Rattus norvegicus: one gene and its partners. The protein of the gene in region 1 interacts with the protein of each later gene in a biochemical or structural test. Links are inferred from orthologs where the notes say so. Each region holds a gene or a part of one and is shown on either strand. Other genes may lie near its edges.

Region 1 (6,004 bases):
TCAGACCTCTAGATTGGCTGCATCAGGTCTCAAAACTGGACTGCCAACTGGAGAAATAGGCCTAGACAATCCAAAAGGCCTTTAAAATCAACATGTTCCAAACCATTTCATTACGTCACCTGTCTCTCCATCCCAAAGTTCGATGACTAGCTGCAAGCAAGCCTGACTTCCTTAATATCCTCCAGTCCCACAATGAAGTGCTAGGTCTGAGAGTTCTGCCTTTTCAACACTGCTCCCAGAGCACCCATCCTAACCCAAATGTGTACCTCCTCTCAGACGGAGTCTCCTGCTTCTCTCTCTCCCTCACCTCCTCTCATATGGAGTTTTCCTGCTTCTCTCCCTTATCTTAGGCCTCATTCTTCCCCTTTCTTGACCTAAGTGAGTTTTCTAAACTTCAAACCAAGTGTTACTTTCCTATTTAGAACACCTCATTGACCAGGGTAGTTAAGCCAAGACAGCTAAGCTGCAAGTTCAAGACTAGTCTGGGCTGTAGAATGAGACTGTCTAAAAACAAAAGCCCTGGCTTAAGAACAAGTCCTCTCTTCAGACATACCCACTACCACATCCACTTGGTCTTTTTAATATGTCATTTATCCTTAGTACCAAGGGCAATACTTGTTCTGAGACAAGCATCAAGTATTTGTGGGATGTGATAAATGTAGAGGGAAGACACTGTGGGCCTAATAAATACATTCAGGAAAAGTAGTAGACCTCTCTAGAAAGATTTTGATACGAAATCAAATAGGAAGGTCAGGGTAAAGCCGTCTTAAAAATTCCATGCTAAAACACCCAGCTTTAACTTAAAGGCCATCAACAATTTTGAACAAATGTATAACACGTTCAAAAGTACTATATAACTTCTGAAATATGTAAAGGCAAGTGGACTGGGGGTAAGGAACTCAACTGAGAGGCTACCACAGTAACCTTGGAGAGGAAACTCTAAGCAGTTAGAAGAGTAGAGTACAAGAGCATGTTAGAGGTTGATAAGTGTAAGGTTTTGCTTGAAGGCAGGCAGCAGTACACAGACAGGAGTCCTAGGCTTCAGTTTTGAACCAGTCAAATACAAGTTTAAAGCCATTAACCAAGAAGTTAGAAACTGGTGGTGGGGGTCAGTTTTATTATGAGTATCCCCTTACACACTTGGCAACATTTCCAAATAACTTTATCCACTGGCAAACTAAAAGTAACATATAATGGCTAGAAATTCAAAATCCCAAACCAAAAGGAGGAGGAAAGAGTTGAAGATTTACTAAGTTACAATGTTGCTTTAGAAGCTTTAAAAAAATGTAGCAACATTTCTAAATAATTTACTTTTAACCTCTGGCAAACTCAAAGTAACAGACAAAGACACTTGTTCAAAATGAGTCCTAACAGGTGTCAGGTACAGCACCGGTGTAGAAGTCCCATAGGGTAGCTAACATGAATATGGACAAGTAAATTAGGATAGGACACTAGGAAGAAACAATGGAGCACTATCCAACGCAACCCTGAGCGCCTGAGAAGAATCTCTGAGGCTGAGTAGTAGTAGGCCAGATCAAATGAGCAGACTGTCCAAAAAGCTTCAGCTAAGAAAACACACTGGTGGGCATTATACAAGCAGTTTAAAGTCTGAAGATTTCAGGATAAGGACACACCCACACAAAATGTCCAAGGACGCATCTTCATGAAAAGTCCAACACACATACAATATTCAAGTTTTAAGCTACAAGAGCATATTCTGAATATGAGAAATATATCCAGCCTTGTCTTGGGTGTCCTAAGAGCATTGCAGGTGGGAATGTGAATGAGGAGAACCTCATGCATTAGGGACCCTGTAAACTCCCTCTTCATCTCACTTCTGCAGGGACGGCTCTGCTTCAAGCGGAAAGCCAGCCAACCGCGAAGCTATAGAACACAAGCCACACTATGGTGAACTGGGGACAAAACCCTTTCCACAGAAGGCAGTCACTCACAACTCCAGCAGTTTTCTGATGGTGAAAATGTATGGCAAGTCCATCTCTAATTCAAGAAAAAAATAAGAACTCAGATTGTATGTGACATTTCTCATCTTTTTTTTTTTTTTTTCAGAGCTGGGGACCGAACCCAGGGCCTTGTGCTTGCTAGGCAAGCGCCCTACCACTGAGCTAAATCCCCAACCCCGACATTTCTCATCTTAAGATACTGGCAACTGATTACATAAAATGAAAAACAAAACAACGAACAAAAAGACCCAGAATGCCAGCCACACAAAATAGGTTTCTGCGAGGGCCACCCATGAGGCAGGTTACAGTAGTCTGCCAACTTCTACAATGCTCTTCCTACCACTCCAAAGGATCCTCAAGTGATATTGTGGAGGTCTCCTTAGAATAGGAGCTACCTGCTTTTAAGCCGAATACCTCAAACTGGTAATGTTCTGTGAGAGCTTTTGTACATATAAATCAATTTTTCTGTCTCATCTTGTCCTGTCAAGATACCAAACTTCTAGCGTCATGAGGCATACTTCTCCAATTCTACAAACTAAGCAGGCAAGTGTGCAGGTAAAGCCAAGGTAAAAATGGACTGAAGCCTCATGGGATCTCTAATGAACAAAGTATGCACAACGAGGTGACCTCTTTGATTTCCTTAGAAAACCTAGAGATTTGTAAGACATTTGAGGATAAAAACCAGTAACCCAAGTCTGAAAAATAAAAGCAAAGTCTCCCAAAAAAGCAAACAGTTTTCCAGCATAAGATACCAAGAGGGGAAGGGGAGAACAGTGCAAAGGAGAAACTAAAAGGTGCTGGCCTCTGTGGAGTATGAAAACACTTTCTGGTTATAGAAAAGCTCTGCATGGTACAGCAAACTCTGTACTCAATACTCAGTAGTAACAAAACTGTATTTTAGCAAAGAGAGCATGAAAATCATCTGAGCAACAAGAAATCGAGATTAAAACTCCTGGAAGAGTAAAACAATCTCTACAGGTAAGGCAAATAAAAACAAAAACCAATCTGGTTTTAAAAATCCATTCAAACACACCTGTTTCAGATGTCTTGGTACAAGCGTTGCTTTAGAAGCTTTCGAAATGTATCAACAGCCACGGATAACTACTGGCAAACATAAATTCAAAATGCCAAACCAGACAGTTGCTTTAGAAGCTTTTAAAATGTAGCAAATAATTTCCAAATAATTTACTTCAACCTCTGGCAAACTCAAAGACACAAAGACTAAAGATGCAAAACACCAAACCAAACGAGGTTCGAAGATTCTCAGCTACTTCAAAAGAACCAATCTGAATACAGTGGCATGTGCATCACTCCTGTAATGGGAGGGGGGAGGGTGTCAAGAGAACGGGGAGTTATGACTGAGGACGAGCAAAACCAAGCAGGCCATGTTCTTACTGGCAGGCAACCTCGCAATTACTTAGGCAAGCACTGTGGCCAGGGCACTTTCGAGCCAGTGAGAGCCCTGGACTCCTAAAACGAGAGACTGACCGCAGCTCGGTAAGATCGAGAAGGTAGGCAATGGCCTTCTTTGACCTCCACGGAAAACCGAGGCTCCTCCAACCCTCGCCTCGGTGCTTGGATGATCCAGACCAACCCTCCCCGACTGTGTGCGGCCTTCCCACGCACCCCGGGCGAGTGTCAACAGCTGGAGCAGCGGACGCGGGGAACCTCACAGCCTGAGCAGACCTCCCCGAGACCCGAGACCGGGAAGAAAGACCGCGGTGGCGCCCCGCCTCCCCGCCCTCACCCGGCCCCGAGCGGACTGGGGCCGGGAAGCGGGTTCCGCGCCCCTACCTTTTTCAGCGCAGGCACCAGCAGCCCCCGCCACTTGGGCGCGTTCTCCTCGCTGAAAAACTCGTAGGGCAGCTGCTGCGCCTGCATGGTGCCTGCGGGGCGCCTCGGGACGGACGGAGGGGCGGCGGCTCGCGGCGCGGAGAAGGGCCGCAGCCCGCGCACAGCCCGGCCCCCTCGGGGCGCCGCGCGGCCCGGCTAGCGCTGGCGAGGAGTCTGGGGGGCGAGGCCCGCGGCCGGGCACCCACCGGACACGCGCGCCGCTCGTCGAGAGGCAACGCAGCCCGGCGGTGGCGGCGGCGGCATCCCGCACCACCGCCCCGGGGCAGGCCCCCCGCTCCGCCCCGGGCCGCCCTCCGCCGGGGCTGAGCTCCCCCGCACGGCCTGGCCCTCCGAGAGACGGCGCGTGGAGGGACGCTCGGGCCGGTGGCGCCCGCTCGCGGGCGGGGAACTCAAGCGAGAGGCCCAGAGCGGGGCGGGCCGGGACCGGGATCGGGTGAGGAAGGAGAAGGGCCCGAGGTCGCTGCCGGGGAATCCGGCCGCTCGGCCGTCGTCGCTGCTGCTGCCGCTGCCGCCGCCGCCGGTGTAGCGCTGGAGCTTCCTACTAGCAAACTGAACCTGCTCGCAACTGAGCATGCGCCAGCGGCCCAGGCCGGTTCGCTCCGGGTTTTCCATCTGCCCGCGGATGAGGAGGGGTGCGCGCCAGAGGCTGGGGAGGGCACTCGCAGAGGCGGGGCTGAGGGACCCTGAAAGCGAACCCGCGACCCGAGAAAGTGTCTGGGTGTGGGGGCCTGCGAGCAGGCAAAGCGCCCCCTTTGTGTGGTCCGGCAGGCGGGGAGCCCATCCAGTTCTAGGAGATCCTAGGCCCTGTGTTTTAGAAAAGGGGTGTGTGTACTTTGTTCCCAGCACGAAGATAAGGAGTGCCCTGAGCATGCACTGTATACTAAACAGATTGCACAAAAGATAGATTCCTCTCACAAAAAAACGACTGCTCAGGGTTTGTCTGGTGGGAGGAGAGACTGCTTTTTTCCATCTGCCTTTCCATGCCATGAGAACGGATACGTGTAGTATTTATTGATCGTGTGTCTACTCAAACCCACGAGCTTTTATTTGTGGATTTAGTCGTCCTGCTTGGGATCTTTCATAGCTTCAACTGGATAATTAGCTTCTGGAAGACAGAGATTCCCCCCCCACCCCTCACCTCGCCTTGGTACTCGACCCAGAATAGAGACGTGAAAATTGCGGAATGCTATAAAAGCAGTATCTATGAATTGTCCTTCCATCGTGAGGATGGAGATGCTTATTATAGTGGCACTGTGCAGCGCTATGGCACATTGTGCCTTATCATTGAACTCTTTCTGAGTACAGCGTTGTTTTAATTCTCAGTTTTCATTTCATAGATGACGAGACAGTTGGAAGAACCAGCCTGGGTTCAAATTGACATTAGGTCTTGCTGTTTTGAAGTACAATAAACAAGATCTCACAGAAGAAAAAATGTTTGAAACCACCATCTTTTAGACCACCTTATAGGGTCTGAATGAAATCTTCAAGTCTTTCCTTTTATAATGCATACACGGATTTACATCTTTTTAAAAATTCCCCTCATTTTAAACGGCTCAACAACAGTTTGAAGTCCATCCATTGACCATCAGAGTAATAAGACAGCAGAGCAGGCCTGTTGGTGAAATGACTCAGCCAGTAAAGGGTACCTGCAGCCAAGCCCGAGAACCCGAGTTCTGTCTTAGAGACCCACGAGGTGGAAGCAGAAAAACTAACTCCCAAAAGTTCTTCTGGTCTCTACACGTGTTCAGTGGCGGGTGTGTCAGACACAAGATAAATATACTTTTTCAAAAGAGAAAAGCAGAGGAGTGATAGCTTAGGAAGGAGTTAGAAAAGGAGTTTCAGAGGACAACTGATATATCAGTTATTTTCAACAACAGGTTTATGTGGTCTCAAATGACTGAACCAAATCAACTATTATAGAAAACTGGTCCTTGGCTTCTCACTATTAAAACACATTTCAAGCTTCAGGCAGTAATGTAGCCACTGATCCCAGCCCTCAGGAGAGAGGTAGAGGCAGAGGAGCAAGGCCGATCTCAGCTGCATGGTGACCAGCCAGGGCTACATGAAATGCTATCTCAAAATCTAAAGAACACACACTTCAAAGTTCTGCGCAAAGCTACGAATCTGGCACCTACTTAAAACAGTCTTAAGGTTTTCTCTCAGTTGTTAATCATGGTTCATCAGGCTCT
Region 2 (5,793 bases), on another chromosome or scaffold:
CAATGAGTTTCTACTTGTGACCACAAAGTAAAGCAGTACAGAAATCAGGTGAGTGTGAGCTTTCAAACTGTATATATTACACACTCCAATTCTTTCCATCGGAGTGAACTACTGCTTAATAACTGACTGTGTTTAAGTGTAGGTCACGGTGGCACACTCCTAAAATCCCAGCATTTAGAGGCAAGGCTGGGTTACTTAGAGGTATGCAAACTCCACTACCATTCTTCCCATGTTTAGCCAAGGAAACTGAGGTGCTGAGAGGTTTGATGACTGCATCTGAGTCATTAACAGTATGTGACGAGGTCCCGTATTAGCGCTCGCTCGCTCGCTCGCTCACATAAAATCTGTAATTTATGTGGTAGACTCTGTAAAAGGAGAGTGAAGGTCACATACCATGAAAGTCATGTTGGAAAGCGTACCTACTGTCCACATTTCCCACAAGTGATTCTTATGTTAGGACTACCATCATTTATGAAAGGGTAGGTGAAATGATTAGACGCTACATTAAATTTTGAGTCCTTAAAGCAACATTTGCTAGACCTCCTTCCAGCATGCCATCCAGCAAGACTGTACATTCAAGACTGGTCAAGCTTAGAGGAACCAACTAGGACACAGCGCTTATGACTACTTGGTGATGTGACTAACTTGGCAGGTGAAGACTTAAAACACCAGGATCGCTGCAAAGTGGTTCACCCATTCATTCTGCAACTATCCAAGGGGCACTGGTTCAGTCTCTAGGAAGACCACAGTCAACTCTGCTCTTCTGAAACATTTATCACAACATGTAAAACTCCTGCCACTTGACAAGCTTGCTATCATCCACTTTGGAGACACTCAGTAAGAAAGAAGCACGCCGCCAAGGTTCTCTGAATCTGCCGGCCTGGAGAATTTCCTGGAAACGGTACTGAAAATATACTTCCCACTGTCTGACTCTGAGGTGGAGAGGCAGAGACCTGTTAAGCTGATGTAAAGATATCTGAATGCCAGACTCGGATGGAGCCAGCAAGTGGAGTCATTCAGGAGGGAGTCACTCAAGAGAAGTCTGACATAAACCCAGCCGGTAGTCACAAGTTTAGCAAATTAAAAGGAGGAGACTGTAGCATCTGCCTAGCCTCACAGTCTCCAGGTTCAAACGACAGCACCACACACAAAGACCAGTGTGAGGCTGGGGTTGTAGCTAGGTGCTAGGGCCACACACTTAGCACTCTCCAAGTCCTGGTTCAAACACCAAAAGAGAAAAGGCACTGGCAGAGGAATTTACTAGGGCCTCCCTTTTAATCTCTTCCAAGTGTTTTAAGGGTGTGTCTCAATCTAGGTATTTGGGGAAAGATAAAGAATGCCCACAGGAAAAGGAAACAGCTAGTCACCAGCAAAAGAAAGACAGAAAATGCTGAGGGACAAACATTTCAGGGAACTAACTTGCCACCACTCATTTCATGCCCTATTTCACAATGCTCAGCATCTGAACAATTCACAGGGTTCCAAAGTACATTAGAAATGTGCTCAGTTCCTCTCTTACTCAGGCAGAATAATAATAGTTTTGTGGCAGTACCGCGATCCTCAGCAATTTCAATAACAGACACTTTTTTAAAAAATAAATACCACTTTTTTAAACATGTACTCTCAAAAAGGCTCCTTACTGTGGCTCCTTACACATAGAAGTGTATGGAGTATCTATGCCCTGTCACCAAATCAGTGTCCTTCACTTCTTCATTTAAATCCTTTATAGTTTCCTGACTTCTTTACATGTCTCCTACAGAGAGATGCTGCTTTCTTATAAGTTCTTAGGTCATAAGGAAACTCACACACACATACAAAACATTTCAATCAAACTAGTTTTAAAAAAAAGTTAAGTAGCAAAAATGGTAACCATAATGGTTGTTGAACTGTCTGCACTTTTCACTGTAAACGTCTTCTAAAAATAAAAGTTTTATCCCAACAAACAGATACATCCCTCCAGTTAAGAGCATTTAAAGAAATGCCCTGCCAAGCAGCTGGCCTGTGGGCTCCTGGCCCTAGCTCCTGCCCTCACATCCTGTCCACCACATAATCCATGAGCAAGCCTTTCTCTTCATCAATTCATCGGGATTAGTAAACCGGCCTCCCTGAAAATAGAACTGATATTTTCCACAGGCATGTATTCCTATGCTTTCACTATCTATGCTATCAGACTCTTTCTTTATGCTCTATGTTTCTGACCACGAAGTACCAAATGAAATATACCAACAGATAAGCACAAAAGAACCGTATCTGGCCAGAGTCTGCATGCACTTACATTTCCAGGTTGGTTGTTTTCCGAATAGCAGCGGTGAGGGCAAAGCCGCAAACTTTCACATTCAAGATGCTACCGAATACCTCTACACCCTCAAACTGCAGCAAGAAGCCACTAATCTATTCCTTCAAAAGCAATGTCTGTAGTCTGATTCACAACAATAGATTGCTCATAGGCAAGAGGATCAGCGAAGTTGTCCTCCAAACCAAAGGGAAACAGAAGTGAAGGGAGGTCCAGCCAGCTCATCCTTGCTTTTCTTTTCTTTTTTCTGGGAATCCGGATTGCATTTCCTGGTCCCCCCCCCCCGCCCCCGCCCCCAAGAGGGACCGCAACTGTGCCCTGGGTCCATAGCAGACACCCAAGTCAGTGCGTGCGCACGGAGGGCGAAGCGGCCGACCAGGGGACGCGCGCCCGCTGCAAGGGGAGCCGCTTTCTGTTAAATGCCATCAGAGCCAGCCCCGGCCGCACCACTTCGGCCCGAACGGCATTGACCGCCCTTCACTTGACAGGGTATTCCAAGGAGGCGCCGGAGAAAAAGGATGAGCCGGGGACTCGAGGCCGGGGGCACCCGCGGGCGGCGCGATGCGTCTCCCGCGAGCTCGGGATCCCCGGGAGGCCGGGCCGGCCCCCCACCCTCCGGCGGCCGAGGGCAGAGGGGTCAGCGGTGGAAGGGACCGCCCGCCGCGATGCCCCCTCGGGAGCGCCGGCAGTGGCTGCGGACGCCCATTCACCGGAGCCCGTCCCGCGGCCGCCACCGCCGCGGCCCGCCCGCCCCGCCGCCCCCGGGAGGATGAGAAAGACCAGGCAGAGCGGCGACGGCGGCCGCGGGGACGCGCGCCCGGCCGCTGGACCCGACCCCGGGCGGCCATCGCCGACCCCCGCCCGCGCGCCAGGCCGCCCGCGTCAGCTCCTCACCTCATCTCCGGGCGGGTGCGCGCGGCCGCCCCTCACACAAATCAGTGCAGCCCGCACGCCGCGCGGAGGAACGCAGGGTCCGCAGCCGCGCACACCATCCCCGCCCGCCCGCTCGCCCGCCTGCCTCTCGGCCGTCCCGGAGCCCGCTCGGGATGCTCCCTCGCGAGCCTCCGTACTACGGAGCAACCAAGCTGCGCGCCCTCCCTGTGCCGCTCCACTCCTCTCGCCCTCCGCTCCTTCGCTCCCTCGCTCCCGCCTATCTCCTCATCTCCCTCCGCCGCCGCCCCTCCGCCCACAGCCAGCCCTCCGCTCCACCCATAGATGGGCGGGAATAACCGCCTGCCAATCGGACGGCCGAGACCACGCCTTCTCATTCGTTCGCATGACTCCGCCCACTGGGGAAAAAAGGACTAGCCACAGGAATTGGAGGTGTACAGAGTGGCAGCGAGATAAACCAATTAAGTGGTTCGGGAAGCACCCTTTTTCCTCCCAGTCCTTGTCTCGTCCCATGAAGGCATAACTAGAGGTTTCTGGTCTATGCGTACGGAGATTTTTGTTTCATGATTTGGCGCTTTGCTCTTTTCTATGCGCGACAGTAGCTAGCATACATTTAACTAAATTGAAGGTTTTGCAGAAAGAACGTGGGAACGAGAGGCGACAGAGACAAAGACTGAAGAAAGATGGTAGGGAGTACGGTTGGAATGAGGAAGGGTGTGGCCTTTTACTCTAATTTGCATAAAACGGAACCCATCTCGGCAACGCCCAACTTCTCCCAAGTATTGGTGGTCCCTGGGATGACTCGCCTCTCTACAGGGAGGAGCATGCTGGGAATTGTAGTTCCGGGTTCGGTTGCTATGGCGCTCGTCACAGCCTCCCCCAGATCGGTCATCCTGCGGTAGTGACGGGCAGTCCGACCAATGGCAGTACTGTTTGGACCTACGAAGGCGGGCTCTCTGCAGAAGGACTGGGAAGGTGGCGGCGGCGAAGGCGCTGGCGGTTGAGGTTGCTCCAAGCCAGGTGAGCCAGGGAAGAACGATATGTGTCTCGTGAAATGGGACTTTGGGCAAAAGATGGAGAAACGTCTGAAGGAGTTGTCTAACCTTGGGGAGATTGGTGCTTCGCATCACACGCCGACCTCAGAGCTGCTCCTGCTCTGGCCTAGCTTGGCTGAGGCCGCTGAGGGGCGGGTAATACTAGATTTGACGGACAGTTCCTGACACTGGCTAGGTTTGGATTGTGGGTCTTTGCTTCATCCTCCGCGTTTATGTAGACAAAGGTCTAGAATTGCCTTTCTCTCAGTTGAGTCCTCCCCACCCCAGCTTCTCCCTACCACTGTTTCTGATGCTGTCTCCGTTACTACTTCCCTTGTCACCCTTCTTACCCTTTTCTTGGCATTTCCAATAAGCGGTTTCCTAAAGCAAGCAAGGACGGGTGTTCACAGTAATGGGGCCTTGGGTCAGGAATTGCCTGCTTCATCCAGTAGTCCATACTTGAGCCATACTAAAGAATTATCCCAGGGTCATGAGGAGGCTCAGATACTGATTCTGGATTTGGGCCTGATGGTCTGCATTTGTTTTTTGTTTTTTGGGTTGTTTTTTTTTTTTTTAAGAATATTTTGAGTATGGGCATCTTAAACAAGCTCCCAAGTATAGGCAGTCCACAGTAGATGCTGAGTTTTGCATTGCCAATCCAGGAAAAATGTTCTAGGCACCTAGGTGCTTTTAGATTTCCTGGGAGCCACATTTGGACAGTGTAAAGAGACCACATGAAATTAATTTTTATGTTCCTTTTAAACCAGTTTCTCCACATATTATTTCAACCTTTAAAAGAATCAGATATTTAAATGAGACCGTGTGTTCTTTAAATACTAAGCCTTGCAGATCTGTTGTGCATTTTACCCTCACAGCATACCTTCATCCTAACTGCATACCACTCAAGCGCTTAGTAGCCACCTGTGGCTATTAGCCGCCGTACAAATCCAGATGATACAAGGGACCATTGCAGAAACTCAGCAATGTTATTCAGGTGACTGCCAGTGACCATCCCCTTGCCACTCTGTTACATGGGCTCGGAACTACTTTCAAGATACAAGACTGAGCTTACAAAAATACTAGGAAAGAGTAACATTTATTAGAAGCCAGCTTTCATAATGCATACTCAGTCCTTGTAGCACCCGGCATCCTATTGCGGGATCCTGTGTCTTGGGAGTTCTACATCTTAGACATCAGCCACTGCAGTGTGTAATGATTACTGACTTTTTCTAACTAATTGCATCCCTTCTTCTGTGTCAGCATGTAGAAGGAGATGAGACACTCATATTTGAAACATTATTCCCCATGTAAAATCAAGCTGCCCAAGCCTGGAGAGCTAGCTCAGGATAGGAGTACTTGTTTCTCTCCCAGAGGACCAGGGCCCATAGCCATACAACCACATGTGTAACTAGTTCCAGGGGGTCTGAAGCCCTCTTCTGGTCTCCAGGGGCACAGGGTACACAGGTGAAATGCAGACACATATGCAAACGAAACACCCATACATACACACTTTTTATAAGTTTTTGTAAATTACAATCGAGCTGCCTGGCCAGGCATGGTGGCACATGCCTTTAA
Region 3 (6,011 bases), on another chromosome or scaffold:
AACACACGATACTTGAATAAGATGACATTTGCATCTCAGCTCTGCACCAACATCAGGATGTGTAAATCTCAAGTTATTTTGCATTTCACTTTCCCAATCTAAAAAACAAAGGGCTAGATTCCAGTGTTTTAACAATGTTCCATGACATCATGACATAAATCCATATAAAATTAAAAAGCAAGGGAAAGAAAGATGTCAGCTGGGGAAAAGGATGTTTAAGGAAAAAGCACAGCAATAAATACATATGCAAACACCATCACAAAACCCATCACTTTGTATGCTAACTCGAAAAGAGGGAAATGCAAAAAAAAAAAAAAAAAAAAAGACAGATTAACATAAGTAACAAATTTTTGACAACCTTTCCTCAAAAATCAAAATTAAATTTCTGGGCGCTGGAAAGATGGCTCTGGTTAAATTCAAGTACTATTCTTGCAAAAGATCTAAGGTTGATTCCAGCAACTATATCAGGAGACTCATAAGTAAGTGCCTGTAAGTCCAACTCCACCATATCTGACACTTTTTTCTAGCCTCCTTTTTCAGGCACCTGCCTTTGTGTACACATATCATGTCCTCAACATACATACATACATACATACATACATACATACATACATACACACACACACACACACACACACACACACTTTTTAAAATGTTTAACTATTTGTAAAAACTATAACTCTGGTTGGGTGTCGGATGCCTCTGCAGGTAAAGGTACCTGCTGCCAAGCCTACAAACCTGAGTTCAAGTCAAGGGACCTATGTGGTGGACAGACAACTGACTCCCTCAAGCTGTCCTCTGACTCTGCCATAAGCACATTGCCTGTCCACCCACCCCCCACATACACACACACACACAAACAAAAATGTAATAATCTTTTTTAAAAAATAGAACTTTAGACTGATGATATAACTCAGTGGTTTATGAGAAGCCATGGATCTGACCCCAAAACTGAGGGAAGGAAAGAGTCAGGAAGGGGAAAGAGAAGAGAGGGGTGAGGAAGGGAGGAAGGAGATTATGGAAGGGAGACTTTTACTTTGCTACTTTAGTAATCTGCAGACAACTTTCTTCCTGTGCTAGGACAGATGGTTCAGTGGTTAAGAGCTCTAGCAGAGGATCTCCGTTCTGTTCCCAGAACCCACACCACATGCTGTGCGCTTCTATGTAGGCAAAACACTCAAACGCATAAAATAAAAATAAACTCTTAAAAGACTGAAATCTAGACGAAAGATATTACTAGTGTCTAAACAGTAAAAATATGTTCAAAGTCGTATTTTAAGATCAGCACAGGCAGAACACATTTGTGAACACCCAGGCAGAAAACCCAGCTAGGGCAAGTGAGCAGTTCAGAAGCGGAAATTTAAACAATATATAAGAATAGGAAGGGAAGGTTTTTTTGTTTTTTGTTTTTTTTTTTTTAAAGAAAACGACTACAAAAAAATAGGACACTGTTAAAGGTTTATGTCTGGGTTACTGAAAGCATGTTACAGAATGTATCACCAAAGAAAGACAGCGCATGCATCAGTTTTGCAGAGAAGACTTTTTAAAGATTTATTTATTTTATGTACATAAGTACACTGTTGCTATCTTCAGACACACCAGAAGAGGGCATCGGATCCCATTACAGATGGTTGTGAGCCACCATGTGGTTGCTGGGAGTTGAACGCAGGACCTTTGGAAGAGGAGTCAGTGCTCTTAACCACTGAGCCATCTCTGCAGCCCCAGGGAAGACTTTTAAGTTTTATTTCTCAGACAGATTAAAGTGAGAATCATCCGGGCCTGTCAAACTTTCTTCAAACTGTTGGATTTGTTAAATGTTCAGTAATTTCTAATTTTAAGTTTCCTTCAATTTTACTTAACAGTGAAATAATCATTGGTTTTCTGGCATTGAAACCATGCATTCTTCCAAATACTACCAAGGTGAATTCATTTTTTTTTTCCAAGTTTTCCTGAAAAGGAATTTATTTACAACAATAATCACATCAAGCCTTGAACTCTAAAACTAAGTTCTCAAATTATGAAAGTCAGCAGCATAAACTATCACTCAGTGTTTAATAAAAGCAATACATTGATATGCCAACTTGTTTACATAGGATCTGTAAGGCTTGGAAAACCAAAACAAAAAATGCTTGACAGGGAGGCAAGTCTTTTCAAAGTTAATGTTCATACATACAGCTGAGACATCAACACAATGCATGCTTAAGTTATTCTAGCCAATTCCTACAGAAGCTCTTCCCAGAGAAAACATCCAATGTGAGCATGATGAAAAAAGTACTAATCAGCCAATGCATATGCTTTGACTTACTATCACGATGCGGAGAGAAGGTCTACTTAAAAACAAGACTGAAAATTATCAAACCAAACTGTCTTCTTGGACTCTCTGTTCATGTGGTGACGTCGCTAAAGGCTGAAAGCTTGCAACTGATTTCCAGGGTGCTTAAGAAATCGTTAAGGCTGATTGATCATCAAGCTATCAAAGTAACTCTTTTGAAAATGAACACTTCTTGCAAAACTTTACCCGTTTTGGGCTGAACACTGATCTCACTGCTCCCCACCCAAGATGGGGGTCAGGAAGTTTTCTTCATCTCGTTCTTTCCTAACTCCTATGGATTCTTACCTAACTAAAGGGCAGTATTGTCTTTGGGTGATTTCAGCTCCGCTCGACATTAACCAAGCGATAATGTTAAGATGATGTTACGGTCCTCAACCCTGAACAAAAAACCAGCTTCCTTCCAACCCAGCTGTTAACAGACTGAACCGAACTAGTGCGGAAACCCGTACGAAAACCAACCCAATGGGCTGTTTTTCCTGGACCTACCCCACCTCAACAGCCACCCCAGACAACCCCATCTCTCCTGCTCTGGAACGGGAGGGGGAGGGGAGGGCGCGCCCGAGGATGTCCCCCCTCACGGCTTCCTCCGGTTGGCGGCTGGAGGTGAGAGCGCCCTTCCTGCCTGCCAGCCCGCGTCCCTACCGTCCCGGCCTCGGACACACCACAGACCGCGACAGGGCTTTCTGAGAACCGCCGAGACAGCGCGCCGCACACTTGCCTGCTCGGCTCCCCGAGCAGGGCTCGTAGCTCAGGCCAGAGGCCGCGCGGGGTCACCGGGCGGCACCGCGGACACCGGAGCTCCGCCGAGCGGCCTCCCCGCCCCCTCCGCTCCGCTCCGCCGCCAGCAGACGGCGCCCCCGGGCTAACTTCGCCGGGGAAGAGGAAGCGACCAGAGACTAGCAGGCAGCGCGGACAGACTAGGAGACCGAAAGGACGGTGCGTGTGTCCGCACGCGGGCAAGGCCATCTCACCTTCCCTCCGCCGAGCCCGCGGCTCCAGTCACCTGAGGACTGCACCGGGACGCCACCGCGGCTGGCCGGATGCCGTTACCGCACGAGGCCTGTGCTGCGCCGCCGCGTAGCTCTCAGAGAGGGGCGGGGCGCGCGCAACCGGTGGGCGGACCGTTGCGGGCAGGAAACCCGCTCCACACCTAACCTAATAGGCTCCTTCGCCTCCGGCGCCCGCCCCTGATTCGTCAGAGGAATGAGCCGCTCCCTGATTGGGCGAACGGGCTTGTCACTCAAGCGCGGCGCTCACTGTTCAGTGAGCTGAGGCTGCGCAGCGTTTGGACAGGAGAAGTTGAGGTTCGCTGGGCCCCACTGCCTTTTTCTCCCCCAGCTTCCTCGGTAGCTGGTTACTCTCCGCCTCTCCAAGCCCTACTAAAACCTGTCATTATAATCGCTCATTAATGTCGAACAGTGGTCCCGAGTTCAACCCAAACTACTCTGGTTCCTGCTTCTGAAAGGGCCGACCACCTACAGATCTTAGGGACAGAGAGCGACAAAGAAAAATCAAGCCTCGGAGAAAATGTAAAATGTTTGTTAACTAAAACCACAACCAAAATAAGCTGTGTGAGGAACTTCCGAGTGCCCTGGCGCGTGGGTAGCCTTCACTCTCCGCTTCCAGTTCTGTGAAAAGCACTGTTACCTTTGCCCTTGGGTTGAGCGTGGCAGTGGCACAGCCCCAGCCACCCGCTAAGCCATTAAGAAATCGATTCTCCTTCCCAATTAGCCCTACAGCCACCAATAACCTGCCTCACTATTTCCGAACACCCTTGCTACTTAGTATAGCTGTGGCACCTAAAAGCAGCACTCTAGGTTAGGTAACTTTATTGAAACACGGGTTTTGCCTCCGGCGTAGCTGCACCCATATACCTAGATTGCAAAGTCTATTACAAGAGGAACTGTGTCAGCACCCACCCACCCTCACTCCATGCCTAGCACAACATCATCGTCAATAATCGAGGAATTAATACATCTTCCTTTCCCCTTTTATTCATTTTTATTTTTTGTGTGTTCGAGTGTTTGGTGTACATGTGTACTTGTGTATCATGTGCGTGCCTGCTACCCCTGGAGGCCAAAAGAGGATATAGGATCCGCAGAAAAAAAGTTACAGATGGTTTTGAACTACCCTGTGGGTGCTGGGAATGAAACTGGGGTCCCTTGGAAAACTGGCGCTCTTAGTCACTGAACCACCTCTCCACCCCTTCCTTCCGCTGTAATACAGGTCCTACCGGTAAGTCCTAAAAAGTTACTTCTCTGCCTTTAACCTAGTTGCATGTTAATAGATATGGTGGCCTGCCCTAGGTAAAATACAAATTACCTGTAGCGCCTTCTTATCCTGAGTAAGAAAAGTAGGTGGTAAAGCTGGGCAGAGGATACTCTGCCTATGTTCTATTGTTAGTATCAAAAGTAGGAATGCAAATCATATATTAAAAACCATACATACTGCAGACAAGGGGGTGGTACATGCCTTTAATCCCAGCACTTGGAAGGCTGAAGCAGATGGATCGAGGCCAGCCTGGTCTACAGAGTGAGTTCCAGGACACCCTGGCTACACAGAGAAACCCTGTCTAAAAAAAAAAAAAAATCATACAGACCATTACACATTACACCTGCATAGACAGGTTCAAGTTTTGCAAGTTCAAAGCCAGCCTGATTCATATAGCAAATTCCAAGACAGTCAAGGCTACATAGAGAGACCCTATCTCAAAAGCAAACCAAAAACCATACAGGCAGCTCACCCCCATTAACTCTGAAGGAGGATATTTGGGGTAGTGTAGAAAGGAAATAAGAACTCTCCATGCCTTAAGACCTTTCCCAGAGAACTATTGGCAGCTTATGGTTAGAATGACCTAGTTTAGGGGTTGGGGATTTAGCTCAGTGGTAAAGCGCTTGCCTAGGAAGCGCAAGGCCCTGGGTTCGGTCCCCAGCTCCGAAAAAAAGAACCAAAAAAAAAAAAAAAAAAAAAGAATGACCTAGTTTAGTGTCCCTATCATACAGGAATGATTAGGAGGAAGAAAATCCTACCTATCTTATCTTATGGTTATCAAGAAGTTATCCCAGACTTGATCTTCAAATGTAAAAATCAGTGGGCCATACTAAACAAATTTAACTTGTGGATTTAGTATGGTTGTGCTGTTATAGGAAAGAGTCTGCTTTGTATGGTAGGTGCTGCAGGAGGCACTGTATATCTCAAGTCTACACCAGTGTCAGATACTGAGATTTAAACCAACCCGTATTCTATGCTAAACACATCAACATTGTATCTAGGGACAGATGGGCATTAAGCCACAATGAGAGGGGAAATGTGTAGTAAGACTATTTGCGCAAAAAGAAGGGTTTGGGAGGGAGTTACCTAATAGAGAGACATTGAGTAATTGTAGTATGTTGGTGGAGCAGACACGGTGGCTAGAATTGAAGCAGTATGTCAGGAGAGCTGAGGTCCTTAGAGTTTATTCTATAGGAGGCGAGCGGTCACTAAAGAGTTGTTTGTTTTTTCAGTACTTTAAGGATCATTCTGATGCTTTCTGCCTCTTGTTTCTGCTGAGGAGCAAGTTGCTATTTAAAAAAACAAAAACAAAAACCCTTTCTTTGATGTGTGTTAGATGTTTTACTTACATACAGTTCCCTCGGAGATCAGAAGAGGACACCAAATTCCTGGAACTGAAATAGCAAAC

Evidence for each region. The genes of interacting proteins can lie anywhere in the genome.
Region 2: the proteins of Sos1 (region 1) and Itsn1 form a complex in vitro, tested with the Homo sapiens proteins (2 studies listed by BioGRID, with this or other methods). The link is inferred for Rattus norvegicus from reciprocal best matches to the Homo sapiens genes SOS1 and ITSN1.
Region 3: the proteins of Sos1 (region 1) and Nck1 form a complex in vitro, tested with the Homo sapiens proteins (2 studies listed by BioGRID). The link is inferred for Rattus norvegicus from reciprocal best matches to the Homo sapiens genes SOS1 and NCK1.

What each region holds. Positions count from the first base shown.
Region 1 is NC_086024.1:20,283,968-20,289,971, reverse strand, and holds the start of Sos1 (son of sevenless homolog 1), read right to left. Parts: upstream 3,856-6,004; 5' UTR 3,843-3,855; coding exon 3,756-3,842; intron 1-3,755.
Region 2 is NC_086029.1:44,462,174-44,467,966, reverse strand, and holds the start of Itsn1 (intersectin-1), read right to left. Parts: upstream 3,421-5,793; 5' UTR 3,188-3,420; intron 2,534-3,187; exon of another isoform or gene 2,276-2,533; intron 1-2,275. UniProt on the Homo sapiens protein: Adapter protein that provides a link between the endocytic membrane traffic and the actin assembly machinery. Acts as a guanine nucleotide exchange factor (GEF) for CDC42, and thereby stimulates actin nucleation mediated by WASL and the ARP2/3 complex.
Region 3 is NC_086026.1:109,954,828-109,960,838, forward strand, and holds the start of Nck1 (cytoplasmic protein NCK1), read right to left. Parts: upstream 3,421-6,011; 5' UTR 3,304-3,420; intron 3,261-3,303; exon of another isoform or gene 2,306-3,260; intron 1-2,305. UniProt on the Homo sapiens protein: Adapter protein which associates with tyrosine-phosphorylated growth factor receptors, such as KDR and PDGFRB, or their cellular substrates. Maintains low levels of EIF2S1 phosphorylation by promoting its dephosphorylation by PP1.